Oryzias latipes: one gene and its partners. The protein of the gene in region 2 interacts with the protein of the main gene of each other region in a pairwise test. Links are inferred from orthologs where the notes say so. Each region holds a gene or a part of one and is shown on either strand. Other genes may lie near its edges.

The links.
Region 1: the proteins of rpia (region 2) and ptpn11 interact in binary tests that used the Homo sapiens proteins (3 or more experiments, as listed by UniProt). The two-hybrid records come from large-scale screens. The link is inferred for Oryzias latipes from reciprocal best matches to the Homo sapiens genes RPIA and PTPN11.
Region 3: the proteins of rpia (region 2) and stk16 interact in binary tests that used the Homo sapiens proteins (3 or more experiments, as listed by UniProt). The two-hybrid records come from large-scale screens. The link is inferred for Oryzias latipes from reciprocal best matches to the Homo sapiens genes RPIA and STK16.
Region 4: the proteins of rpia (region 2) and pcmt1 interact in binary tests that used the Homo sapiens proteins (3 or more experiments, as listed by UniProt). The two-hybrid records come from large-scale screens. The link is inferred for Oryzias latipes from reciprocal best matches to the Homo sapiens genes RPIA and PCMT1.
Region 5: the proteins of rpia (region 2) and atpaf2 interact in binary tests that used the Homo sapiens proteins (3 or more experiments, as listed by UniProt). The two-hybrid records come from large-scale screens. The link is inferred for Oryzias latipes from reciprocal best matches to the Homo sapiens genes RPIA and ATPAF2.

The regions. Positions count from the first base shown.
Region 1 is NC_019870.2:1,422,835-1,427,788, reverse strand, and holds the start of ptpn11 (tyrosine-protein phosphatase non-receptor type 11), read left to right. Parts: upstream 1-1,860; 5' UTR 1,861-2,128; coding exon 2,129-2,142; intron 2,143-4,954. Other genes in the region: transmembrane emp24 domain-containing protein 2, read right to left, coding at 64-243. UniProt on the Homo sapiens protein: Acts downstream of various receptor and cytoplasmic protein tyrosine kinases to participate in the signal transduction from the cell surface to the nucleus. Positively regulates MAPK signal transduction pathway. Dephosphorylates GAB1, ARHGAP35 and EGFR.
Region 2 is NC_019880.2:22,089,525-22,094,459, forward strand, and holds the start of rpia (ribose-5-phosphate isomerase), read right to left. Parts: upstream 3,195-4,935; 5' UTR 3,146-3,194; coding exon 2,981-3,145; intron 2,227-2,980; coding exon 2,166-2,226; intron 1,998-2,165; coding exon 1,942-1,997; intron 1-1,941. Other genes in the region: uncharacterized protein LOC101171122, read left to right, coding at 3,302-3,337, 3,601-3,745, 3,828-4,935. UniProt on the Homo sapiens protein: Catalyzes the reversible conversion of ribose-5-phosphate to ribulose 5-phosphate and participates in the first step of the non-oxidative branch of the pentose phosphate pathway.
Region 3 is NC_019861.2:14,422,710-14,426,324, forward strand, and holds the end of stk16 (serine/threonine-protein kinase 16), read left to right. Parts: intron 1-13; coding exon 14-101; intron 102-436; coding exon 437-565; intron 566-688; coding exon 689-810; intron 811-1,175; coding exon 1,176-1,314; 3' UTR 1,315-2,939; downstream 2,940-3,615. UniProt on the Homo sapiens protein: Membrane-associated protein kinase that phosphorylates on serine and threonine residues. In vitro substrates include DRG1, ENO1 and EIF4EBP1. Also autophosphorylates. May be involved in secretory vesicle trafficking or intracellular signaling.
Region 4 is NC_019882.2:17,708,341-17,713,091, reverse strand, and holds the start of pcmt1 (protein-L-isoaspartate(D-aspartate) O-methyltransferase), read left to right. Parts: upstream 1-1,680; 5' UTR 1,681-1,842; coding exon 1,843-2,020; intron 2,021-4,246; coding exon 4,247-4,351; intron 4,352-4,434; coding exon 4,435-4,466; intron 4,467-4,751. Other genes in the region: nucleoporin Nup43, read right to left, coding at 1-2, 86-163, 1,080-1,202, 1,384-1,503. UniProt on the Homo sapiens protein: Initiates the repair of damaged proteins by catalyzing methyl esterification of L-isoaspartyl and D-aspartyl residues produced by spontaneous isomerization and racemization of L-aspartyl and L-asparaginyl residues in aging peptides and proteins.
Region 5 is NC_019877.2:3,256,127-3,261,000, reverse strand, and holds the start of atpaf2 (ATP synthase mitochondrial F1 complex assembly factor 2), read right to left. Parts: upstream 3,173-4,874; 5' UTR 2,929-3,172; coding exon 2,805-2,928; intron 2,719-2,804; coding exon 2,674-2,718; intron 2,577-2,673; coding exon 2,428-2,576; intron 2,347-2,427; coding exon 2,249-2,346; intron 794-2,248; coding exon 713-793; intron 590-712; coding exon 477-589; intron 362-476; coding exon 246-361; intron 1-245. Other genes in the region: gid4 (glucose-induced degradation protein 4 homolog), read left to right, coding at 3,537-3,728, 4,114-4,173, 4,524-4,631, 4,723-4,824. UniProt on the Homo sapiens protein: Plays a role in the assembly of the F1 component of the mitochondrial ATP synthase (ATPase).

The DNA of each region.
Region 1 (4,954 bases), on a different chromosome or scaffold from region 2:
AGGAACAACTCAAAATAAAAAATACATTTTGTGTTGATACATTGCGTCAATTAAATGTTTCACCTCGACGTCGATGTCCAGAAAGCCTCCTTCTGCCACCTCGAACATGAGGCCCATCTTGGTGCCGGAGTTCACCCGCTCATAGAAGCACTCTTCGGCATGGGCGTCTATGCTAACGAAGTAGCCGGACGCGGTGGCCGTCAGGACGGCCAGCAGGACGACCAGCTCCGAGGCGGTAAACATGTTTCAGGCAGAGAAAGACGCGTCCGGACTGTCCGGCCCTCTTTTCCGAGGAGAATCCTGCAGGATGGAGGTACGTGGAGGAAGAGAGGCTCCGCAGGAAAGGAGCTGCACCAGCCTCGGCTGCTGTACACCGCTCTGAGACTGCCACGTAAGGGCTTACAGGACAGCAGCTCGAGAGGGACAAACTTAAGAAAAGCGGTCCGTAAAAAAAAAAAAAAAAAGATTTCTAAAGTCGAACCTGGCTTTCTGCGCATTCTTATAAAAAACAATTAATTAAAGTATATCTTCAGAAAATACATGTAAAGATTCAGTAGTAGTTGTCTGAAGTTTTTCCCTCAATAATCCTTGAAAACCATATGGTGTGAGTTATCTTTGAGGCATTTGAAAGTATAAAAAATATTTTTATGTCTTTTAAATTGTACATCTTTTACATCAGTACATCCACGTGTTTGCTTTGTATTTCTCTAATTCTTCTTAACGGTTTCTATAATTTCGTCTTTTTATAATGACTCAAACTGAAGTCTAAAGTCAATTGTGGTGGATAAATATAATTAATTTATCATAAATCCATTATTGAAAATATTTTGATTTATAATGTAGGCTTTGACTCACTTTAGCATGTCTCCAGAAAAAAAAAAATCTTCAGAGTTTATCCAATTTAATGCATGTGCATGTTTTGTAAATGTATTTTTGTGTTCAAAAGTTCAGTGTCGTGCGACTGTTTTTGTGCACATTCTTGGTTTTCACAGTTGTGTCAAGGAAAATGTATTTATTTGTTGGTCAAACTGCAGGAAAAGCTGGACACACAAAGTGGTGTTTCAATAATTATTTTTGAGGATTCAGTATAAAATTTCATCTTTTAAAGAAAGATACAGTAAGGAAACTGGTTTTAAAACTCTGTACATATAAATATATATATATATATATATATATATATATATATATATATATATATATATATATATATATATATATATATATATATTTTACTAAGACACATTGTTCTGGGATTATTTGCTTCAGGAATAATCCACCTATCAACGTTTTTGGATAAATTATCGTATTGCTGGAATCTTTGTCAGTAAAATCTAAGGATTCACTGAATATATGGAGTTTGTGAAATTGCTGCTTTCTTCACAAAAGGATAAAAATAAACTTTCTGAAGGTTAAGAAGCAAGACAATTCAAATATTTTTGGCACAGCTTCCGTCAAATTATAATTTATTGAGTAAAATAAAATAATTTTATTTCAGAAGTGTACCTTATTGTCTTTGCAAGGATAATAATGGTGTCTGATTTAAATCATGGAAAAATGTTTTAACCTCCCAAAAAAGTATTTTTTTAAATAGAATTGTGACATTTGGACGTTCAAAAGTCGTCATAATATTCCAGATGTTTTTTTTAAAAGATCTGGAAAATAATATATGTATATAAGAAAACAAAAACAAGACACAAACTTTAGCATTACATCCTGCAAGTACTCTCGTAGTAAGACTTTGGGGTTAGCTTAATTTATGTCCCGCTTTATGCCGGTTGAGGGGAGCTCTTCCCGTCAAACCGGTTACTTCCGCCAGGGCGAAGCGCGTCGAGAAACGGGAGCTCCAGGTGTCCAGATCCGCGTTCTCTGTTTTGTCGCATGTTTGGTGACGTCCAATAGTTGCCGTGAAGTCTCCGGACCGAGGCCTACGGACATTTCCCCCCGAAGCGGACGGCCATTCACGTTTCTGCGGATGCTTAAGTAGTTTCTAGTGCCCGTTGTGATCGGGTTTCTCTGTTCACCGATGAAGCACTTTATTGATTGATCAAGGCGGGAACGATCGGAAACCCTAGCTAGCTAGTTGAAGCTAGCGCTAGCTGCCAGCGAGGAAGTGAGGAGGGGGAAAAAAATGACATCTCGGAGGTAAGAGAGGCTTGTTTGGGACACAATTTAAGCGCAGGCAGGGACGTTGGAGTGAACCCAGATTCACGGATCTGCTCGGTAGTCGAACCCAACCGGACCGACGGTTCTGGAACAGCCCGAGGGCAGAGGAGCCGCTGTTGTCCGGGCGTTCAGTGAAGTTCCACACCGGCGTCTGGAGCCGTTACTTAGTGGACGAGTCGACAGCATTTCTGCTGGGGTGGAACTTTAGGTTTTTCACAAAAGTTTATGAAAACGATCGAATAATCAGGGAATAACTTTAAACATAGAGTTACTTTAATCCATAACATGTGATTTATGTCAGTGTTTTGGTTTGTTTCTGCACATTCGGCGTTAGTTCACCACTTTAATGGTCATTTTTCCAAATAAAGAAGTTTCAAATTCAGTCATAAATAGATTTCCTGCCAGCTGTTTTCAGCAGAGACTTGAGTCTCTCATGCAGGGAGACTTGTGATCAATGCTCACTTTTTTTGGTTTTTATTTATACCTCTGGGACAAAAGAACAACAACAACCTTTTAGTGCAGAAAAGCTAAATGTGTTTTCTTGTGCTTGTTTTTCAACGTGCAATTTGCGTCTAAGAAGAGGCTCATTTTAACCACAACTCGCTGGGAAAAAGTGACTTGTGAGCATCTTTGGTTGAGTTTCAGCTGATTTGATGAGAAGCAACAGAAAGGAAAGAGGAAAACCTTCCGTCTGCTTCATCTGACACATTCCACAGAACATCCACAAGACGGAAGCGTCTGGCCGCAGAGGCGCCGTCGCAGCCAGGCCTTTGCTCAAGCAAAAAAAAAAAAGTGTTTTTGATCAGCAAACAGGAAGAAAGTTTGGCTGAAACACCAGCGTGAGGTTTAGCGTTGAAGGCACATGATCTATTTAAAGTTTCATTAGTCAAAAAGGCAAAGACGAGGCGGATCGTGTGCAGAGAGGAGGCCAGAAACGCAGACGGGACCAGACGCAGACGCAGACGGAACCAGACGCAGACAGAGACGGGACCAGACGCAGACAGGACCAGACGCAGACGGGACCAGACGCAGGCGGGACCAGACGCAGACGGGACCAGACGCAGACGGGACCAGACGCAGACGGGACCAGACGCAGACGGGACCAGACGCAGACGGGACCAGACGCAGACGGGACCAGACGCAGACGGGACCAGACGCAGATGGGACCAGACGCAGACGCAGACGGGACCAGACGCAGACACCCAGTCAAACTGTAGAAAACATGAAAAATGAATTGGAGAGGATGCAGAAGCCATCCTTCTCATTCAGACAGGGGCTGCAGGATATGAGGAAAACTCGCAAAATGCAATTTTAGTGATATAACTTGTGATAAATGAACAAATATAAAAAAACCAGAAAAACATTTCCATTTCACTGCATAAGTTTAACTTAAATTAGAGTCAAAATACCTTCAATTATTCTCCAAACGACCCTCGTCTAATTAGGAGGGCAACAACCTACATTAAAGCTCCATCTGATTGGTCAAATGCATAAATGGATTGATTTGATTCGTTAAATACTTCAAGCTGCCATAAGATTGTTTTAGCACATAAAATGTTTACTATTTATTGCGTTTTTCACCGACTTTTGCGATATGGAGATCGCACAGCTTGGAATCGCGATATCGGTAAATTTTTCAGACTGTTTGACTGAATTCTTTGGCTCTGAAATGAGGCCTTTTCCTGCAAAATCCTCCTTGAATTTCTCCAAAGAAAAGGATAACCTGGTCTTCAGGTGACTGTCCAGTATGAGCGTGTTCTGCTCACGGCGGAATGACCATTTATTGAGATTGTTTGCTGCTATTGATGGATCAGTTGGTCGGCGTTGTTCTGGTTTCCTCTTTTTCACGTTTGGTTTTTCTGATCATCAGATCATTTTTGTGCAGTTATTTTATCATGAAGTGGTATTTATGCCATCACGTTGCAAACAAAACTTTCTAAGTTGCAAATGAAAATATTAAATATTTGCTTTTAGATTTTTCAAAAAAAATTCTGCCATAAAATTTTTTTTTGGAATTTTAATTTTTTTTCTTTCAATTTTATTTTGCTTTCAAAAAAATATTTATGCGTTAGCGACACAAATGTTTTGCGTTGTGACTCATCTCGCTTTTTTCCTATCTTTGATTTTGCTCTTATACGTTTCAGTTTAGCGTGACAAAGCTGCCATCAAACATTTGCTGATTGGTCCAGATTCTAACCAATCAAATCACCGTATTTGTCTAACATGGCGTCTGCTACCAGCTCTGTTTACCCTCGATTTTGTCTCTCTGATTTAAGAAAATGTCATTTTTAATCATTTTAAAAATAATTCACTTTCTTTTTCCTCTGATTTTGCATTGATTATTTCCTATTTAGTCAGATTTGTGAATTTATGGCTGATTTCATGAAACTGTCAGATAAACGGTAAAGTTTATCTGCGTCGTGGCATAAATATTACTCCATATTTTATAGGCCCCACAAAATAGATCATCAATTGACGGTCATGACGATCTCAGCCTATGCGACACGCAAATAGGCAAAGATGGTGTAAACTGCTAATGGCGTTTACCATAAATGTTTAAACACGTGCTAAAACAGCCTCATTCATCGCAGATTTGAATATTTCTAGAATCAAACGGAGCATTTTACGCGATGGAGCCCTTTATTGTTAGACGCCTGCCTTATATGGTCGCGTTTGCAGAATAATTGATGTTAACTTTCAGTGAAAGGGAAAGGATGTGTTAGTGTGTTGTGCTTTTGCTATTTGTTCATGTCATCGCAATATTAATCCCTATAGTTTTCCTCACGTCGTT
Region 2 (4,935 bases):
TTTTGCTATTGGCATATTTACACTTGTGTATGAAATATTGAGCGTTACACGTATGTTCTGCAAGCATGACAGCTCACTTAGTCTGCAGAAAAAACATGTATGCTAACTTCAACGAGCAGAGATGAAGCCTGCAGCCAGCAGGGAGGAGCTTCTTCCAAGAGGCAGAAGAAAAAAAGAAGCTTGTTGTGTAATATTTATAAGCGCATGTAACGCGTAGAGCACCCCCCCACCCCCTGTAACTTCTGTTTGCGTCTCTGTAGCGCTTGGTTTCGGCTGATGGGGCAGTGGAACACGCGTCAGCTTTCAGCAGGATCCAGACAGACCTGCAGAATAAAGCTGCTGGACTCACTGCAGCATCAAAGCTTAAAAAAAAGGGTCGGTTTGAAGACGGCGCTGATGTTAAACCCTGATGCTAACATGCTACGATCATGCTATGCTAACGAGCTGTTCCGAGTGTCGCCAGACTGGGACCACAAACTGGTTTAAAGTGACACAATATTTACACAGAGCGGACTTTAAGACGGGGAGGATGAACTGTATTTTCTAAACACAATAACAGACGTGAATGAAACTTTATTAGCAACATCTAACATTACAGAGCCGCAGAATTAGGAAAAAGATACATTTTCTTTCAATCTGCTGCCCTTTAGTGAATCTGTCCATGTTTTATTTTTAAAGATGTGTTCATCCTATTTATAGATTTCTTTAAGGTCATTTTATTTTCTGACAGATTAGAAATCACTTTGAACAGTTGTTTCCATGTTGTGACGTCCTCTCTGTCTGCACTCCTCCTTGTTTTTAATTGACACCGATAGTTTTTCTGTGTAGTGTAACAATTTGTCCACACACAGCAAAATTGGTTTGAAGGTTGTAGCTGACAAAAGTGGGAGGACGACACATTTGTTTGAACACCTGAAACAAACTCTGTTCAGAGAGAAGCGTTTCTCTTCATCAGACGCTCCAGCTGTCTGCAGCTCCCAAAAATGGATCTGCAGACATTTCTACAGCTTTTGTGTTTAGCTGAACTTTGTGCTGGAGCCTACTTTTTAAAGGTGATGTTAAAATTAAGTAGTTTTTGTTGAATATATCCCATCATTTGTAATTTTTGTTAAAGAAATTAAAAGGACGGAGAAAAAAAAAAGTGTTATGGAGTGAAAAAAAGATTTTATTTTTTTGGCCACATGGCCCAGGTCTAATCTGTGTGTAGAAAAGTCATTTAAATAAACAACCAGAAAACACAGAAGTAGAAGTTAAATAAGAAGAAATAGATCTTTTTTTGGGGTGGAGTTATGAAGAAACAAGAAACTATTTTTTGTTCTTTTTATTTATATTTTACATTTGATGTTCAGAGTTTGTAATTAAATTTGTAATTTGTTTGGTTCAAACTGTTTTGTTTTGTTGCATTTCTGGCTGCGCTTTAATGTGAGACACGCATCAGGTTGCAGTGTTTTACATTTGTTTCTTCAGTAACCAGGTAAGTAAACTTAAACTGAAGTGTCACTGGGTAATTAAAAGGAGTCAGAGTAGGAGCAGCAGGTTTGAAGAGCCAGATTCAAACACTTCTACAGGAGAAGCTATCTTTAGTGAATTCTTTGCCCAAACCCACAAAGGGTGCAGCATCTGCAGATGATGATCAGCTGAGGTCAGCGTTGAAGGGTGAGAAACCATGAGTTCGTGTGGACATTGATTCTGTTTTGCAGTTTCCCCCCCAAAAAAAATCGAGCAGAAAGCAAAGCAGGACTTTGCACTGAAATGTTGCATTTAGCAAAGATCTGAGAGGTCTGTAGCAACACATGCAAAGAATGTGCTAACTGTCGTAGTGCAACGCGCCAGTTTCCTGATTTCACAAACACAAATGGTCCGAGTGGAGGAACTTGAGAAAATAAACTCGCAGCAAAAAGAAAAGCGATGAAAGCGGATCACAACAGCACATCCACTCACCTGGAAGGAGGTGGGAACACACACAATGTTGAGTTTTTCCTGCATCACTCTCTCCGCTGCAACAGAGACAAAACGGAGGCCACATAAACACTGGACCCATGAACGCCAAGTGGTCAGTTCTGCTCTTTGACTGCAGTCACAGCTGCTGGAATGGAACCATCACCAGCGGCTGCAAGCAGGCTCCTCCCACTGGACACAGACATGAACAGTTCAACGGCGCTCACCCAGTCGGTCCACGGCGTACACAATGGTTGATCCACTGCCCACTCCAACCACCTGGTTGTTCTACAGAAAACAAGGAGGCGTGGTGTCTGAATCCATTCAGCTCACAAGATCACAATCCAGTTTGATTTTTAATTTAAATCCCATTCATCAGGTTTCAGTATGATATTCATGTTTCAATAAATGGTAAAGTCACATGAACATTTTAAAAACAGAAAAGCTAGTGATTTACAACTGTAATAATGTCTTTCAGACACACATCAAGGCAACATTTAGGAGCAATGTTGGCTGGAAAAGACGCTTCAAGAAGCTGCAGAGAGTGAAATTTTTCATAAAAACACATTTTATCTATATATAAAAATCTATAATTAACATGAAAGTCCAAGCAAAACAAAAATAACATTGATACTGTTTTTATTGAAATTAAAATAGGTGTTTAGGTTCACCTTTCACCTGAGGGTCGCTTTTCTGGCCCACGGGGGCTCCCGTTCCCGGTCGGAGGAGCTGACCTCTGACCCCCCACACTTATGGCTAACAACACCGTTAATTCCAGCCTAGACTAACTTCTACACCGCTCATGCCCCTGTTTTCCTTTTCACCCTAAATGTTTCCTAGCTGCAGCACCATAGTGCGGTTCAAAGCGGGACAAGCCCGCGCAAAGCCGCGCTAAGTCGCTTTAAAGTATTTAGATAATGTTGTACTTGCTAACTTTGCCGCGCGCCGGAACTACTAGCTGAACGGCCGTGACGTCGTCTCAAACTCTCCTGCTGCAGGACTCGAACGGACGCGTTCGCTCAGAGGACAGCGACTAGGGTACCTGGACGTGGTTGTCCACGGCGGCGTAGGCGGCCAGCTTCTTCGCCTCCTCTGCCATGCCAGCATCAGACTCGCGGGAGCAGCGCACGTGCCGGTGACTGGAGAGCGCGAGGAGCTTCCGCGAGGGTGGAGCGCAGAGGAGTGGTACGAACCCTGGTAGCCTCATGACACCCCCCTCCCGCAAGCGCAAGAGAGCCTCCCCAAGACGACTACCCCTCGCTGCAGTGGGCAGTGTGCCTCGACGTGGGCGGGGCTAAACGCGTTGGGCTCCGCCCACAGAACGTGATTCCATTTCTTCTTCTTCGCTGCAGTCAGATTGTCCATGTGCAGCGACACAACACGGAACTGCAAGATGGAGGTACGCATCAACAAACAAACGGGCATTCATGACAATAAGACACATTTTCGCCTCACGGATGAGGCTGTTATTTGTATTTTTGCTTTTTTCTGTCGTAATATCCACGTAGTTCAGGTTTCACACGGAACTACAAGTTAGAATTGCGGCTCTACTCCTCGGGACTTTCGTAATCATCATGATGATGTTCAACTTTTTTGTGTCTTCCAATCAATGTAGGTGAAACTTTCCGGTTTTTTCCACCTGTATTTTTCCTCTCTTTACAGAGACACGTTACAGTCTTATTGGGCAATGAAAAACCAACGCCGAAAACCCTAAACGGTTCTTCCCACTGTCCGTTCTGCCGCTACAAGGGCGCAGAGCATGCTGTGAGACACCACATGGAAAACCATTCGTCCGTCAAACACAAAGGTACAGTCTGGGTTCTGAATGGAAACTGTCAGTCACAAGTCACAAGTCATGAAGTATGTTCTTCCCATCATTCCTCTTTTAGGATTCACAGTCATCAAGTGTGGTTTAGGTTGCCGGACTGCGTCACACTTTCACTGTTGCCATTGTCCGGCAACATTGGTCAACAGGTCACAGTTTTTCAAACATTTGGGAGCGCACCACGTAGGAAATCCTCCATGGCTGCTAGAGGTCAAACCAGAGCCCCCACCGCAGCTCCCACTGGCCCCACCACAACTCCCAGAGCCCTCATCGCAGCCCCCACTGGCCCCACCACAGCTCCCAGAGCCTTCATCGCAGCCCCCACTGGCCCCACCACAACTCCCAGAGCCCTCATCGCAGCCCCCACTGGCCCCACCACAACTCCCAGAGCCCTCATCGCAGCCCCCACTGGCCCCATCACAGCTCCCGCTGGCCCCACCGCAGATCCCACTGTCCCTATCACAGCTCCCAGACCCCTCCTCGCAGTCCCCGCTGGCCCCATCGCAGTCCCCGCTGGCCCCATCGCAGCTCCCAGAGCCCCCATCGCAGTCCCCACTGTCCCCACCTCAGCCCCCATTGCAGCAACCAGCACAGCTTCTATGGCAGCAAACCCCGGCCCCACCACATCCCTCAGAGCGCCCCCAGCAGCAAAAAAACCCAAAGGAAATGTGTCGGACGCAGACAATTCTTTGTCATCTCTGCGGTTTGAATTTAAAAAAAAAAAACTTCAAAACACACTGCAAGAGGAAGCACAAGCAGTATTTTGAGACAGTTTCCATGGAAAGATTTCTATCCAGCCAGTGTGTGGATGAAAAAAATGGCGTGTTTGCTGTTCAGGAATCCTTCTGTGGTTCAGCAAAGCCTGTGCATGTTGTGAAGAAATTCTGGGGGGCGAGTCCCGTCACTGTGTGTGAGGTGGACCAGTGCCGGCTCAACGGGGACTTTGCCCACACAAGTGGGATGCCGCCCTACGAATGCCACCACGTCAGATCTCTACTGTACTGCCCACGAGCCGACAACCAGCATGTCACTCTATCTGAGGAGGCATTGGAGACGATGGTAGAGCAGAAATGGTTTGGGGAAGAGCAGAAGGCCAGTCTGTTGCAATGTAAAAGGAAGGCAGATGCGGAGGAGGTGCCCCTTTCTGTGCAGCTGACTGTGGGCGGCCCACC
Region 3 (3,615 bases), on a different chromosome or scaffold from region 2:
TGTGATTTGACAGAGATCTAAAGCCCACAAATGTGCTTCTGGATGAGAATAACAAACCGTTACTGATGGATCTGGGCTCCATGAATCGTGCGAGAATTGAGGTGAGCGTGTAAAAAGATTAAACACATTTAACCAACTACATTTAAAATGCACATATACAGTACATACTGTTATTAAAATGACAAAAACAGTTAAAAGAACGTTAGTAAACTGTCATTATTGAGTTATTCATCCTAGAAAACAGATGAATTTCAAAGATGTACAAGTGCTTCAATGGTTGACCTTGTTCTCCCTCTGGATGTGAAAATCGTTTTTTTTAGTATTTCTTAGCAAACCAGCTTTAAATGTCAGCTATTTGTTTAAAAACTAACTTCCTCCTAAACCTTCACATCTTTAAATGAACCTTTACTTTTAATGACCCATTTTTCCTTCCCAGGTGAAAGGATCCAGAGAGGCCATGACCCTACAGGACTGGGCGGCCCAGCGCTGCACCATTTCCTACAGAGCTCCTGAGCTCTTCCACGTAGAGAGCCACTGCATCATAGATGAGCGCACTGATATCTGGGTAACGTTGCAAGTCCACTGTCCTCAAGGACTCGTACCTGCCTTTTTCTGGAGCAGCTTTTTCTGAAACCTCTGGAGAAAATGACTGAAGCCGGCCTCTCCTTTGATTCTGCTTTTCCTTCAGTCGCTCGGCTGTGTGCTGTACTGCATGATGATGTTGGAGGGCCCTTATGATCTGGTGTTTCAGAAGGGCGACAGCGTTGCTCTGGCTGTCCAGAATCCAGTCAGCATCCCGCCATCTTGCAGGTCATTATTGGAGGGTTTTGTCGATCTGTTAACCTCCTTTATTCCTTTCAGAAGTTTAAGAAAAGAAAAAATATTTTGCTGACGTTTTTAGTGCTTGTTAAAAAAAAAATCAAAAAAATAAACAGACTTTGGATTTATTTTGGAAGAAAAACTTGCAAGAAATTTCTTATGATGACTATAAAATGAGGGTTTATGGTCACCAGTGGCATTTAAATGCTGCTGTCACTAAGCAGAGTACACCCAAGCTAAAGTGAATCCCCTAACATGCTGGGTTTTTGTGATTCATGTCACGTTTTTTCCCCTCAGTATAAGCTAAATTGTGAATGGAGGATGTGTTGGCTGATATTCTCTTGACCTGTTCACAGGTATTCATCAGGTCTGCAGGTGCTGCTCAGCTCCATAATGGTCTCAAATCCCCAAGAGCGACCGAACATCAGTTGGGTGCTTGACCAGGTTCAAGACCTGCAAAATCGCAGTCCGAACACCGAAACCAACATGGTCTGATCGGATCCACTGTATGCAGAGACCAAACCTTTACACGCCTCAGTGAACTTCTCTTTTTTTGTTTGTTTGAAGAATTAAATCTAAAAAGCTGGTTTTCCATGGGACGGTTGGCAACAAAAGCCTCATCCTCCACTTTATCTGATCAAAGCTTTCTTTTAGCCTTTATTTTAACTCACTAAATTATTTGAAGAATGTGAAATGCCTTAAATCTATAAATATTTTCCACAGTGCAATTATTTCTGGTGATGTCAGAAAAAAAATGCTTCTTTTTTTGGCAACCTTTATTTTGAAAAATCTGTGTATTTGTTCTTCCTGAGACCTAAATGAGGTGCTGCTCATGTGTCTGATGGCTCCATGTGTTTTGGATCCACCTCACTTTAAAATTTGCAGTGGAGACAGATTTGACCAGCTTTGTTTGAAAGCAAGAGAATCAAATCCAAGCATATTTATGTGGTTGTTTCGTTTCGGTTAATTCCGTGGAGAAAAGTGAAGAAATAATTCAGTGAATGCAAGAAACTGCAACTATTTTTGTCCCCCAGATGGAGCAAGGCTCACTATTATCCTTTTTATTAGTTCTTCTAAGTTGACGTCTACCCTCTAGTGGCAGCAGCTTTAACAACTATTCTTCTAAAAATGTATAAACTTTTGTTTAAAGTAGTATTTTTAGATTTTGATATGAAACGAAAACGTACACATTAAAGCTCTGCTTTGGATTTCGGATTACTTTCACTTCTGGGCTCATGTAATTCAATAATTCAGTTTTATTTATTTAGCCCACCATTACAACACGGTTGTGTCAATGAGCTTTAGTAATTGTACATAACATAAATGAGTTATAAAATACAATAGCTAATTGTTCGTTTACTCCTTTAGGGATTAATTTTAGGAGTTAAATGCTGCTCACTTTGTCTTTTATATTTCAGGAAGCTTCTATGTTCATTCCAGTGACTGTTCATGTTCTGTCTAGAGGAGCACCATGTTTATTCTTTTATTTAAAAAAAAACAAGGCTGTCCTTCGATCACAATTGTTACAAACTGTAACATCTGTTTATTTTAAGTTGGAAATAATTGAGGGAATATATTTTTCTGTCACTTCACTTTGTATTGTGTTTTTAAACAGTCTTTTCCATTCCACTGATTCCTGTGTTTTATTCTTGTTTTCTTTGTAATAATCAGACTTGTGTTCTCTCAGGGTTCTCCCATAATCCTCTGGCTTTCGTTTCTGAACCTAAACTCTACCTTTAAAATGTCTTGACAGTAAAAACCTTTTGGGCATTTAAATTGAATGCTTTTTTTGTGACTGTAGTGCAGTAATTTAGGACTGTTTGACCACCTTTAAAATATTCTGCTCAGTTAGCTTGTAGACATCATATTTGAACTGTATTTTGGGAGTACTATACAATGTTTGAGGATACTATGTGTTATTGCAAAGTTTGGATTTAGCCAGTATAATGAACTGTTGTGTTGTTGTGAACCGCAAATTGAAAAAGGTTTAATGCTGCATCCGAAAGACAAAAAGTTCTATTCGTATTGGTAAAGGTACCAGATATTATTGTGTGCTTTTGATGATGATGAAAAGTCCTTTATTCATATTTTAAAACACAAATAAAGAGAAAATATCTACACACCTGGTGTGAGTGGTTATTTAAATATGATGGTGCTTTTAAAACCTTTTAAGTAAAGCAAATTAAAGCTTTAAACAGTTTGTTGAATATATAAACTAACTACGGTACAAATGATAAAAATCATTGTATTTAAGATTTGAAGGGCTCGTAGATTCACCTGCATTTTCTAAGCAGTAGTATCCAGCTGCCACAAGTCAGTGCTGTTGCTGTAAAGGCCTCTGGGATTAAAATGAAAGCAGTTCCACACAAAAACCTTGACCTTAACATTTCAGCTGTTTGCTCTCACACATCCTTATAACACTATGTTAGCTGAATTACCTGCTTCTTTTTTTATTGTTGCAGCTGATTGTTGTGGATTCTCTTCGATCTACAGCAGGGGTGCCAAACTCATTTCCACCGAGGGCCACATCAGTATAGCAGCTGTCCTCAAAGGGCCGGATATAACTTATACATGTAACTAAATGTAATGAAACATACATGTAACTACTCCTTAATGTTAAACAACTAATTTATTTATTTATTATAACTTTTGAAAGTGACAATTACAGTTGCATAGAAAACATATGTTTGCTTGTTACTCTATCATAAATCCTTTTAAATTTGATTCTGTCAGGTTAGATTATATGGACAGTGTTTAAGTCCTAATGTATAGTTGCCCAATCTGATATTTCAAGGC
Region 4 (4,751 bases), on a different chromosome or scaffold from region 2:
GTCTGTTCAGGAAACAAAAAGGAAACCCGTTTTTAAACATGACATTTTGTTTTCTCCTCAAGAAAACCGAAAAGAAACAACGTACATGAGTGTTTGGATGATAGCGGAAAATAGTGACTGCTCCCGTTGATGACGCTGAGACCATCCGTTCCTGGTCCAAGAACTAAAACATGAAACAAAGAAAAACAAGAAAAATTACTTTATCCAAACAATGTACACATTTAAAATCATTTAAAATTAAAACCTATTGTAAAAACATTCCCAGTGTTTTTTTTATTATGATTATGCAGTTTTTAGCAAAAATCAAAAACCCTGTGTTGTTCCTTAAGACATAATTTCTGCAGAGCAACAGAAGCTCATTAGAAATTTGTTTCTGGGTTGTGGATGGGACTGTTAGCGTGAAAGTGACCCTACCATGATTTCCCAGCATTCCTTTGTTTACACGCTTTCCTGCTACCTAACAGCCGCTCACAACCCCAATCTAACATTAGCGTAGCACAAGAAAAAAAAACAACCTGCCGTACAGTTTAGATTTAGATTCCAGCTCAGACAAAGGAAAACAAAGACGGATGTGGATCTATTTGTCTGCGTGCGGAACAGGGAGACTTTGGCCCGCCAATGGCAGTTGCTGCATCGCAAACCGGGTCCTTATCCATTACAATTTAAATAAAAAAGTCCTCGTAAATGCAGTGCTAAGCTTAAATCCTTTTGTCCTCCATGATGAGAAAAATGCTACAAAAACATGTTAAAAACACACATATCTGAGTGAACCATCCAACATAATAAAGTGGGAAAATCCAGAAGAATTGAACAAAAATGTAATCAAATAGTTACACAAATTGATCAAACATTTGGGTGTGAGCTTCTGAAGGATCTTTATGACTTTATAACTGCTGACACTTATTTGACATGCTGAATAATTTTAATGACAGAAAAGGGAACATTTAAAATTTCGTTTTGGTTTTGTGCTCATTTCTATTTTTCATTTAGTTTGTTTATAGGCCTAAATAAAGAAATGGCTCCACAGATCAAACATCAACACCGATGATTCCGTCATTAGAAGCTTTTGGGTTTCTTACTTGCAGGTCCAGAACATCTCCGCCATGTTTGTGCTCACATAAAATTTGTGGGTCTCCTTCAAATCCGTCTTCTAATCCAGAATTGTTGTGATTTCCAATGGACCAGATAGACACCTTGTTGTCCTATAAATCAACGGGTTTCACATTAAACTCAGTGAACATTTAAATCACGACGACAAATGAATCAAAACAATTTTTTAAAGTGTATTTAAATAATTTAAATTAATAAAAAAAATTGAGTTAATTAGCAAGCGATCTTAATAATTTGTGTGGTTTTGCGCTAGTAGTAGTACTACTAGCTAACCTCGTTGTCCCACGAGCCCGTAGCAAAGACTTCTGGTTGTTGCAGTGAAGAATAGGAAACCGGACACCATCTCGTCTTACTGATTTTCTGAGACACATATTTGGCATTTATGCTCTCCATGGAAATTGAAGCCTTTTTGTTAAAATTTGAAGTGTTGTTTTCAGTTTACGGACTACACGAGAAACTACGCGCCTGCTGCTTCATACGTAACTACGGTGGCCCGAGAAGACCAGATCACAGTGTGCTATTCTTCTTTAAATTAATAGATAATCTGTTTCCCCCTAGCGGCCGACTTCTTTATTACCCAACAATTCCAATAAAGCAGAGACAGAGGAATTCCCTCTTTAAACTGACACTGGGCTCAGTACGTATCTAATTGGGTTTGTATTTTATTAAACTGTACGTGTTTTGTTAAAAGGGAGTGTATGTGAAAGGCGGCCCGGTAATAAAATCATTTGGATGTCTGGTGACGTATCCGCTCCGCCGTCTCCGCTCGAGGTTGCGAGCTTCATCGGGAAAACTGTTGGCGCAGGCGCGGCACTGACAGCTGCTGTCTACTTACTCCGCAAAGTCTGCTTAATAATGGCCTGGAAATCTGGAGGAGCCAGTCACGCAGAACTTGTCACCAACCTTCGCAGTGAGTCTTGTAGCGTTTTTAAGGTGGCATCGGCAAGCAATTCACCCGCGCGACGCTGGAAAACTGTTTTCGGGCGCGTGCTTGTTAGCGCAGGTGCGGTAGCTAGCTGGTTGCTTAAACTGTTAACCACTGTTGCCCCTAGTTTCTCCACCCCCTTTTTTTTTTTTTGCCAAACCACGTTACGCCGTGGGACACGCGCGCGCTTCTGTCATTTTAGATCAAAATAAAAGCACTAAACACCCAAATTACATAATATTTGCATTAAATATTTAGGGTGTATTGTGATGTTAGCCCGGCCAGCTAGCTATGTATGTGCGTCATGTAGGAGCATGTAGCTAGCGTTAGCAGCGGCGCTAGCTGTGTGCCCTGCCCACATCCATTGATGTCTGTCTGCACTGGCCACTGCGCTGTCATTTCACTGACGAGAACAGTTTAAACCGTAAAGCTCGACTCTGGAAACCACCCTTCTGTTGCACGAGACAGAAATTCACATTTGCTGTGTCACGATAGCAGCTAGCAACATCGAAAGAGCGACTTAGTGCCAAGTCCAACTCGGAATAAATGGTAATGTCATTTTGACACTTAGCCTTTTTGTTCATAATAAGCCTTTAAGCCAGTACATCAACTTATTTAATGCTAATATGTGAATTTAATACGATATTTGCAGACTTGAGTGTGCGTCAACATTCACTGTCAAGTATTTGCCAGCTCTATTTATACTCTCTGTGCTGTCAGGGGTATCATTGCTCGCTTTTTTGCCCATAGCTGCGTGTTTAGGAGGGCATCAGTCTCTATATCTGCTTATCTCAGTCCAGACATGTTTGCTTCCGACTAGCACACTTCATTTGGATTGAAGCAGACCACATGCAGAAGGCATGCTGATCAGTCTGCCACCTCTGGCTGAACCTTTCAACCCTGCAGGCTTTTGTTAAGGACCTTTTGTGGTTATATTGGCTTTATGCAAATAGGTACAGTTAAAAAAGTGATCATGTGGACTGTATATAATAATGCTCAAGAGTTTTATCATCTTATTTTGCTAATATTTTACATGTGCATTCTTAATATTTAAGTCTTCATTGTTCATTTTTTCTGCTTGGTGACAATAAAGCTTTTGATTGTATTCCAAACATAAGAAATCGAGCTCATGTATCTTCCTTAAAGGGTCATGAAAAATCAACTTTTTTTTAGCTTTTAAGTGTATTATAATGTTCATTCTTCACTGTAAACAACCTCAAAGCAGTATTTTGATCTGTTCTTACATTTCTGAGTATTCCTCTAAAAACGTCTTAGGTTTTCAGAGGAATACTCTGTGTGTGTGTGTGTGGGGGGGTGTGTGTGTGTGTGTGTGTGTGTGTTTGTGTTTGTGTTTGTGTGTTTATTCAGGAATACACACACACACTTTCTGCGTGGTGCCAGTGGTGATTGGTCAAAACACGTTCCTTTACTCTGCACAGTATGCACATCCATCCCTGTAAAGGTTTGGATGTTGTTTGTTTTCCTGGGAGACTCAGACACGCTGCCAAGGCCGGCTCTATGTTGAGGTCATGCAATGGGCGACACCCACACAGAGAGAAAGGCGGAGCCTCAGAGACCAAGTCGTCTTATTTCCGGGTTGGAAAATGAAGTGTGAAAATAACTCGTATTTCATAAAAAGATCATTCTTTAGTGTGCCAAAGGTAATATATTATCATATACATGGATATAGTTCATTGTGAAAGTATTGGAAAAGCATGAAATAGGCCCTTTAATCCACAAACTACAGTGTAAATGCAACCTGTTTAGATAAGTGTGACTGTTCTTTTGAGTGTTAACATTACAACATCTAAATTTTATGTCCATAATTCTGTCCCGCTGCAGTCCATGGTCTGCAAAGCCAATATTGTTTTTGCTATGCCGCTTTCTTACTGTGCCCTGTGTTAACATTTCACACCAAGCCTCTTTCAGCTGTGAGTACATGCACTAATATCGGGTAGCGACAGTCCAGTGTGAACACATGTGGCAATAGGGCGTTCAAGAAGGCCCGTTTAGCGCGTTCTTCAGGTCACATCACATGCCTGGTGTGTAGGTAGCATAAGGAATAAGGTTTATTTGGATACCAACCACTCCATGTTTGTCTGATTTAACTCAATGCGTTCATTCGTGTGTCTTTCTTGTTGCATATTCGTCTGCAGGACTGTGTGGTTCTCTTCTGCCTCACTTTTGACAAAAACTCTTCTGCATCCTCAGAAAATGGCATCATCAAATCCGACAGGGTGTACGAAGCCATGCTGGCCACAGACCGAGCACACTTCTCCAGGTGTAACCCCTACATGGACTCGCCTCAGTCCATAGGTAGGTGCATGGACGCCATAGTTTGTGCACTCTGGCCTGTTTTCTGAGTGATCAACGAGCCCATGTTTGCTTCTAACCAACAGGTTTTCAGGCCACCATCAGCGCCCCACACATGGTATGAAGGTCTCCACCTTCCAGAGGACTCTTTGAGAAAACCTGAACTCATCTGGACTCAATTATGTCTATATATACAATATTTCAATTCAATTCTTTCACATTTTCTTTCAAATTTCTTAAATACAAAACTGGTTTTACATACAGTATTTTAAAGCACACTTAAAAGCCTACTTTTTTTTTTTAAATCTACAGTGCATCTTATAATCTGGAGCATCTCATATATGATTAATTCTGGTTGGGTTTACTGATGTTGAAGCGATTTTTAGAAGTAGACGGTGCTCTG
Region 5 (4,874 bases), on a different chromosome or scaffold from region 2:
CTGCAATAAGAAAAACAGAGTTCTGAACTCAAGAAAAGAGCATTAAACAACAGATATTCAAAAAACAAATTTGATATAAAATAAACCTAGTTACAATGGGGTTTTTTTTTCCCACTACATAGTTAGATATCATTGTATTAATAGAATAATATCTGTTTCTTAAAACAGACAAAAATCAAACAAAAAAGTCTTAGTATAGTAAATATTATAAAAGATTGATGGTAAATCAAATGGACTTTTCCCACCTGGTATTCTTCCTCCAGTCTGGAGAGCAGCACCGCCTGCTCCACTGTCAGGTATCGGTCAACCATCCCCAGTGAAAGCAAAATAGACTTCAGCTGCGAGATCACAAACTCAAGTCCTGCAAAGAAACAGACACAATTCTTAAACATTTCAAAAACAATAAATACATCATCTCAGCCTGCACAAGTTGAGATCTATAGATGATCACGTTTTCTGGAGTTGAGATGTCTTACCCGTCAGGGACCAGAGGCTGTAAGAATTGAGATGCTGTCGAAAAGTTTCCTTGGTTGCCTGTGGAATTTCAGGACCCAGAATGCTCGATGAAGATCCAATAGTGACATTGTATCTGCCATGCAATAGTACAGAGAAAATGCATAATAATGTATGGTTTACTGAGACAGTTCCTACATCATTTGGAAGTCTACTGCACAAGATGTGAAGATTAATGCTTTTGTTTTATTTTTTTTACCGGTTTTCAATCCAGTGCAGAACCGGATCCCACTCGTTCTTCTGTAGGTCCACTAAACCAGGAGGATCCTCCACTCTGTAACTGAATCAAAGCATAAATAAATCACTGTTTTGTGACAACAAGGTAACTTAATCTGAAAATGAAACTTAAAAAAAAGAGGCAGCCAAATGGCAGATGCTATAAGAGAGCAGCACAGCCTGCTCCACAGTCAGGTATATGGCAACCATCTCCGGTGAAAACAAAACAGACCTTGCTTTCACTTTACTGGCCAGACAATGATGGTCCTATTAAAGAAATTAGGTCAAAGAAAAAGTTTGTTGCATTCATTTTCACAGTAATTCTTTATTTTTAATGCTTTGGAGTCTGGAATCATCTGACAATGGACCGAGAAAAAAAAGTTTCTCCTGCAAATATCTAGTATATGAAATTCATAGAAGTTCCAAAATTCATTTCTTTTATTTTATTTCCATAAACAAAAATGCTAGTTTTCTGCAATAAGCTAAAAACATCTGCTTTCTTTTACAGTGGCATTACAGTTTAGTGCAAAATGCTACATTAGTCAAATAAAGGGAGATAACTAAAAATACACTGCATAATTATTAATAATAATCACAATAACAAAAGGATCAACACAAAAAAACAGTAAAATAAAATTGTTAATTAGCTAAAGAAATTAAGAAAGTGAACGTTGCTAAATCCTAAGCTAATATGCTAAAGTAAATAGAAAATGTAAAAAGATATATAGTGCCAATAAATGTATTACAAATTCACACCTACACAATAAAGTAGCTAAAACATAATAATTGTAAATAAAAGACTGATGCAAATCTGTTTGCTAAAACTACTAAGGTATCCATAAAACAATTAAGCAGACAAGTGTAAAGAAGTTGAATATTTCAGGACCACAATAAAATGTTTAAATTAAATTCTGAATAAGATAATAAGTTTTTTTTAAATATGTGTAAAAAGTTAAAAAGACAAGGGAAATAAATAAATATGTAATATATAAATTTAAAGAACTAAAGGGATTATCTAATACATAGTTGACAGTTAAACAATATATCTCATTATACAAGTATAATTTATAATAATGAAAAAAAAAGTCTAAATTATATTAATAGGTTCGAACATTTTCAAAAAGCTAAAAAGTAATTGCATTTTGACTATTATTTGCAAAAAAAATTGCAAAAAAAGAGCACAGAATGGCAGATAACGTTTTATTTTTTACAAAGAGAAATAGAAAAAAAAAAAAACATATTAGATGTAGTTGCATCTCACAAGTCCAGGATTTGTTTGGGTACTTTTTATCTAAACAAACCTAATTTTGAATTTTCTATTGTTTTGGTATTTCTGTTAGGTGCTTTTATTTTGAAGTCCTTGTTGCTTTTCTCTCTAGATTAAGAACATTTTTTCTCCATTCAAGTAAAATATTGATTTGAAATACAGGTGTTTTATCTTTTAAACTGAGTAACCGGCATAAATGAGCCAAATAATCATCAACTCTGGACAGAAACAGTATAAAAGCTAAATCCATACCAGATCGTGTCAGTCTCCAAAAACTTCAACGCTGAATTGATCATTTGCTCCTTGTTGCGTTGGGTGGGGTTGTCCAGAGCCGTGTTGCACAAAGTGGTCTGCAAGAAAAGTTCAACCGGCATATGAGTACGGCTGGCTACACACTGTGGTGTAAATAGGTCAGAAAAAATATCCCATACAAGGTGCATGGTATAAAACTTGAGTGTCCCCCTCTGAGCATCCCACTCTGTTGCCACGGCGATAGCCAGGGCTTCATTTGGTACTGTGAACAGCTTCCCTCCTGGAGTTTTGAGTTTCCTTCTATCCAGATTTATTTCATACAAACCATCTATGGACAAAATCGTCACAAAATTAGAGAATATAATCAATCTTGGTCTTCCCTGGAACAATAAATAAAATTATTTTAAATTTTAAATAAGACTCACCATCTCCTTGAGATATGCTGACATCTTGATAAAATCTCTTCCTCTCTGTCAAATAGCAAAACATGTAGCACATGATTAGCACACAGCATATTGATAATTAATAATAGTAATGTCAAAATAAACACGTTTACCTGTAGATGCAGTGGAGTATTTTGACAAACACTTGGAGTACTGATGACTGGGACACGACTTGCAAACTGAAATTACATTTCCAAAGGAATTTCGAAGTTGAAAAACACGTCTAAACATATTCATACCTAAATTTGGACGTATACTGTTTACAATAAAAAAGACGATTCACTAGCGATTTCTTAAGCCGGTCTCTCACGCACTAAAGTACCACATTGAACAAACAGATCTTGAGTGTATAATGAACCTGACTCTACAATAAATCTGTTGTTAAACATTAAGGTTTTCATCTAGCTTACAGTAACACATCGGTTCAAAACCACGCGTGTGACCTTCGATGCTACAAAGCTACAAAATGTTTTCATTGCATGCTTTGGGAAATGTAGTTTATTTTTGGCACTGCTAACGCTTACACATCACTTAAAAACTACATCAAAAATGTTCACGAATACTCTTCCGCCTGCTCAGCCAATGAGCGTCGACGATCTTCGAGGGTGAAGTTGTTGGACCAATGAGATAAGCCGTTGCTACTGGTTACAGCGCAGCTTCGAAGTCCACTTTTAGTTCTGGGGAGCTTGATGCTTCGCAAACTGAACTGTGGCGCAATTAAGAGCAATTTGAATGTTTGAGGACCTCCTCGGGACTTTCTTTCTGGCTGGTCGTACAGGTTGACCGAGTCCCGCTGCCGCACGGCCGTTGACCGCGGTTGGAGTTCAGCCTGCGAAGCTGGAGCTATGCCTGTCCCCGCTGGATATCTCAGCGAGTTCCCGGCCGCGGCCTTTGCATCCTCGGCCTCGCTTATCCCGCTGCCGCCGATAAACACTCACCAGCCCGGTGTTGTCACGTCGCTGCTGTACAGCGGCTCCAAGTTCAGAGGCCACCAGAAAAGCAAAGGGAACTCCTACGACGTTGAGGTGGTCTTACAGGTGGGGGGCACCGAGGCGGAAATGTTGCTTTTCGTACTGCGAGCGCGAGGCTTTCGGGTGATGTGTCAAAGTGGCGGCTGGAAGAGTGACAGCTGAAAAAAAAAGGGGGTCCCGGCCTGTCCTGGACCAACTGTGGGTGTAGTGGTGGGAGTAGCAGAGCAACTGCGCCCAAACAACACCGACTAACAACAACCAGCTGCACAATTTTCTACCAGTTTAAATTAACACAAACTATCACAACTAGCTTAAATGTTGCAACATTAGGGGCTGTTGACATTTTTTGAGAAACTGCAGCTTCTGACCGTCAAGTTTTGTTTTTGTTATTTTTTTTAACATAAATTCAGTGGAGATTTGACCTAAAAGTTCTGTTTATTATTTGTTACAGCATGTCACAATGGAGGATTCCTACTTGTGTGGCTATTTGAAAATAAAAGGACTCACAGAGGTCAGTTCTGTTCATATTTAGAGGATTCATGTTGGAATATGTACATGTGGATGAACTGGACTTAGAATTTTAAATGTTTTTGCAAGTTTTTCCTCCACCTTTTGTGTAATTTTTCTTGCAATGACTAAATATTAGTCCAACTGATCGTGAGCCAAATAATTCTACATAGTTTTTTGTTTTGTTCTGCCTCTGAAGTGCAGATATTTTTAATTAAGGGATCGATTTGCTTAGAATATTTTTAAACGTCTTAATTTTCTATTAATGATTTATACATAGCGATAACCTAGCCTTAACGCTGTAAAGTTTACAAAACAAGATTGTTGGTATAATCCAGTTGCACATTTTCGTAGGAATATCCGACCCTGACCACTTTTTTCGCCGGGGAGATCATCAGCAGGAAGAGGCCGTTCCTCACCCGAAAGTGGGATGCAGACGAGGACGTGGATCGTAAGCACTGGGTAAGTAAGACGACACTTTTTCCACGCTCGGCGTCCGCGGCGACGTGGCCGTCTCGCCGTAACTTTATATGCGCTCTCTTTTGGCACCAAGGGCAAGTTCCAGGCTTTCTACCGGTATGCGAAGACTTTTAACTCTGACGAGTTCGACTACGAGGATCTAAAGAACTCGGACTATATTTTTATGAGGTGGAAGGTAAGCCTCGACCTGTTTGCTAGTGAACTCCAAGATGCAGCCGCTCTCAT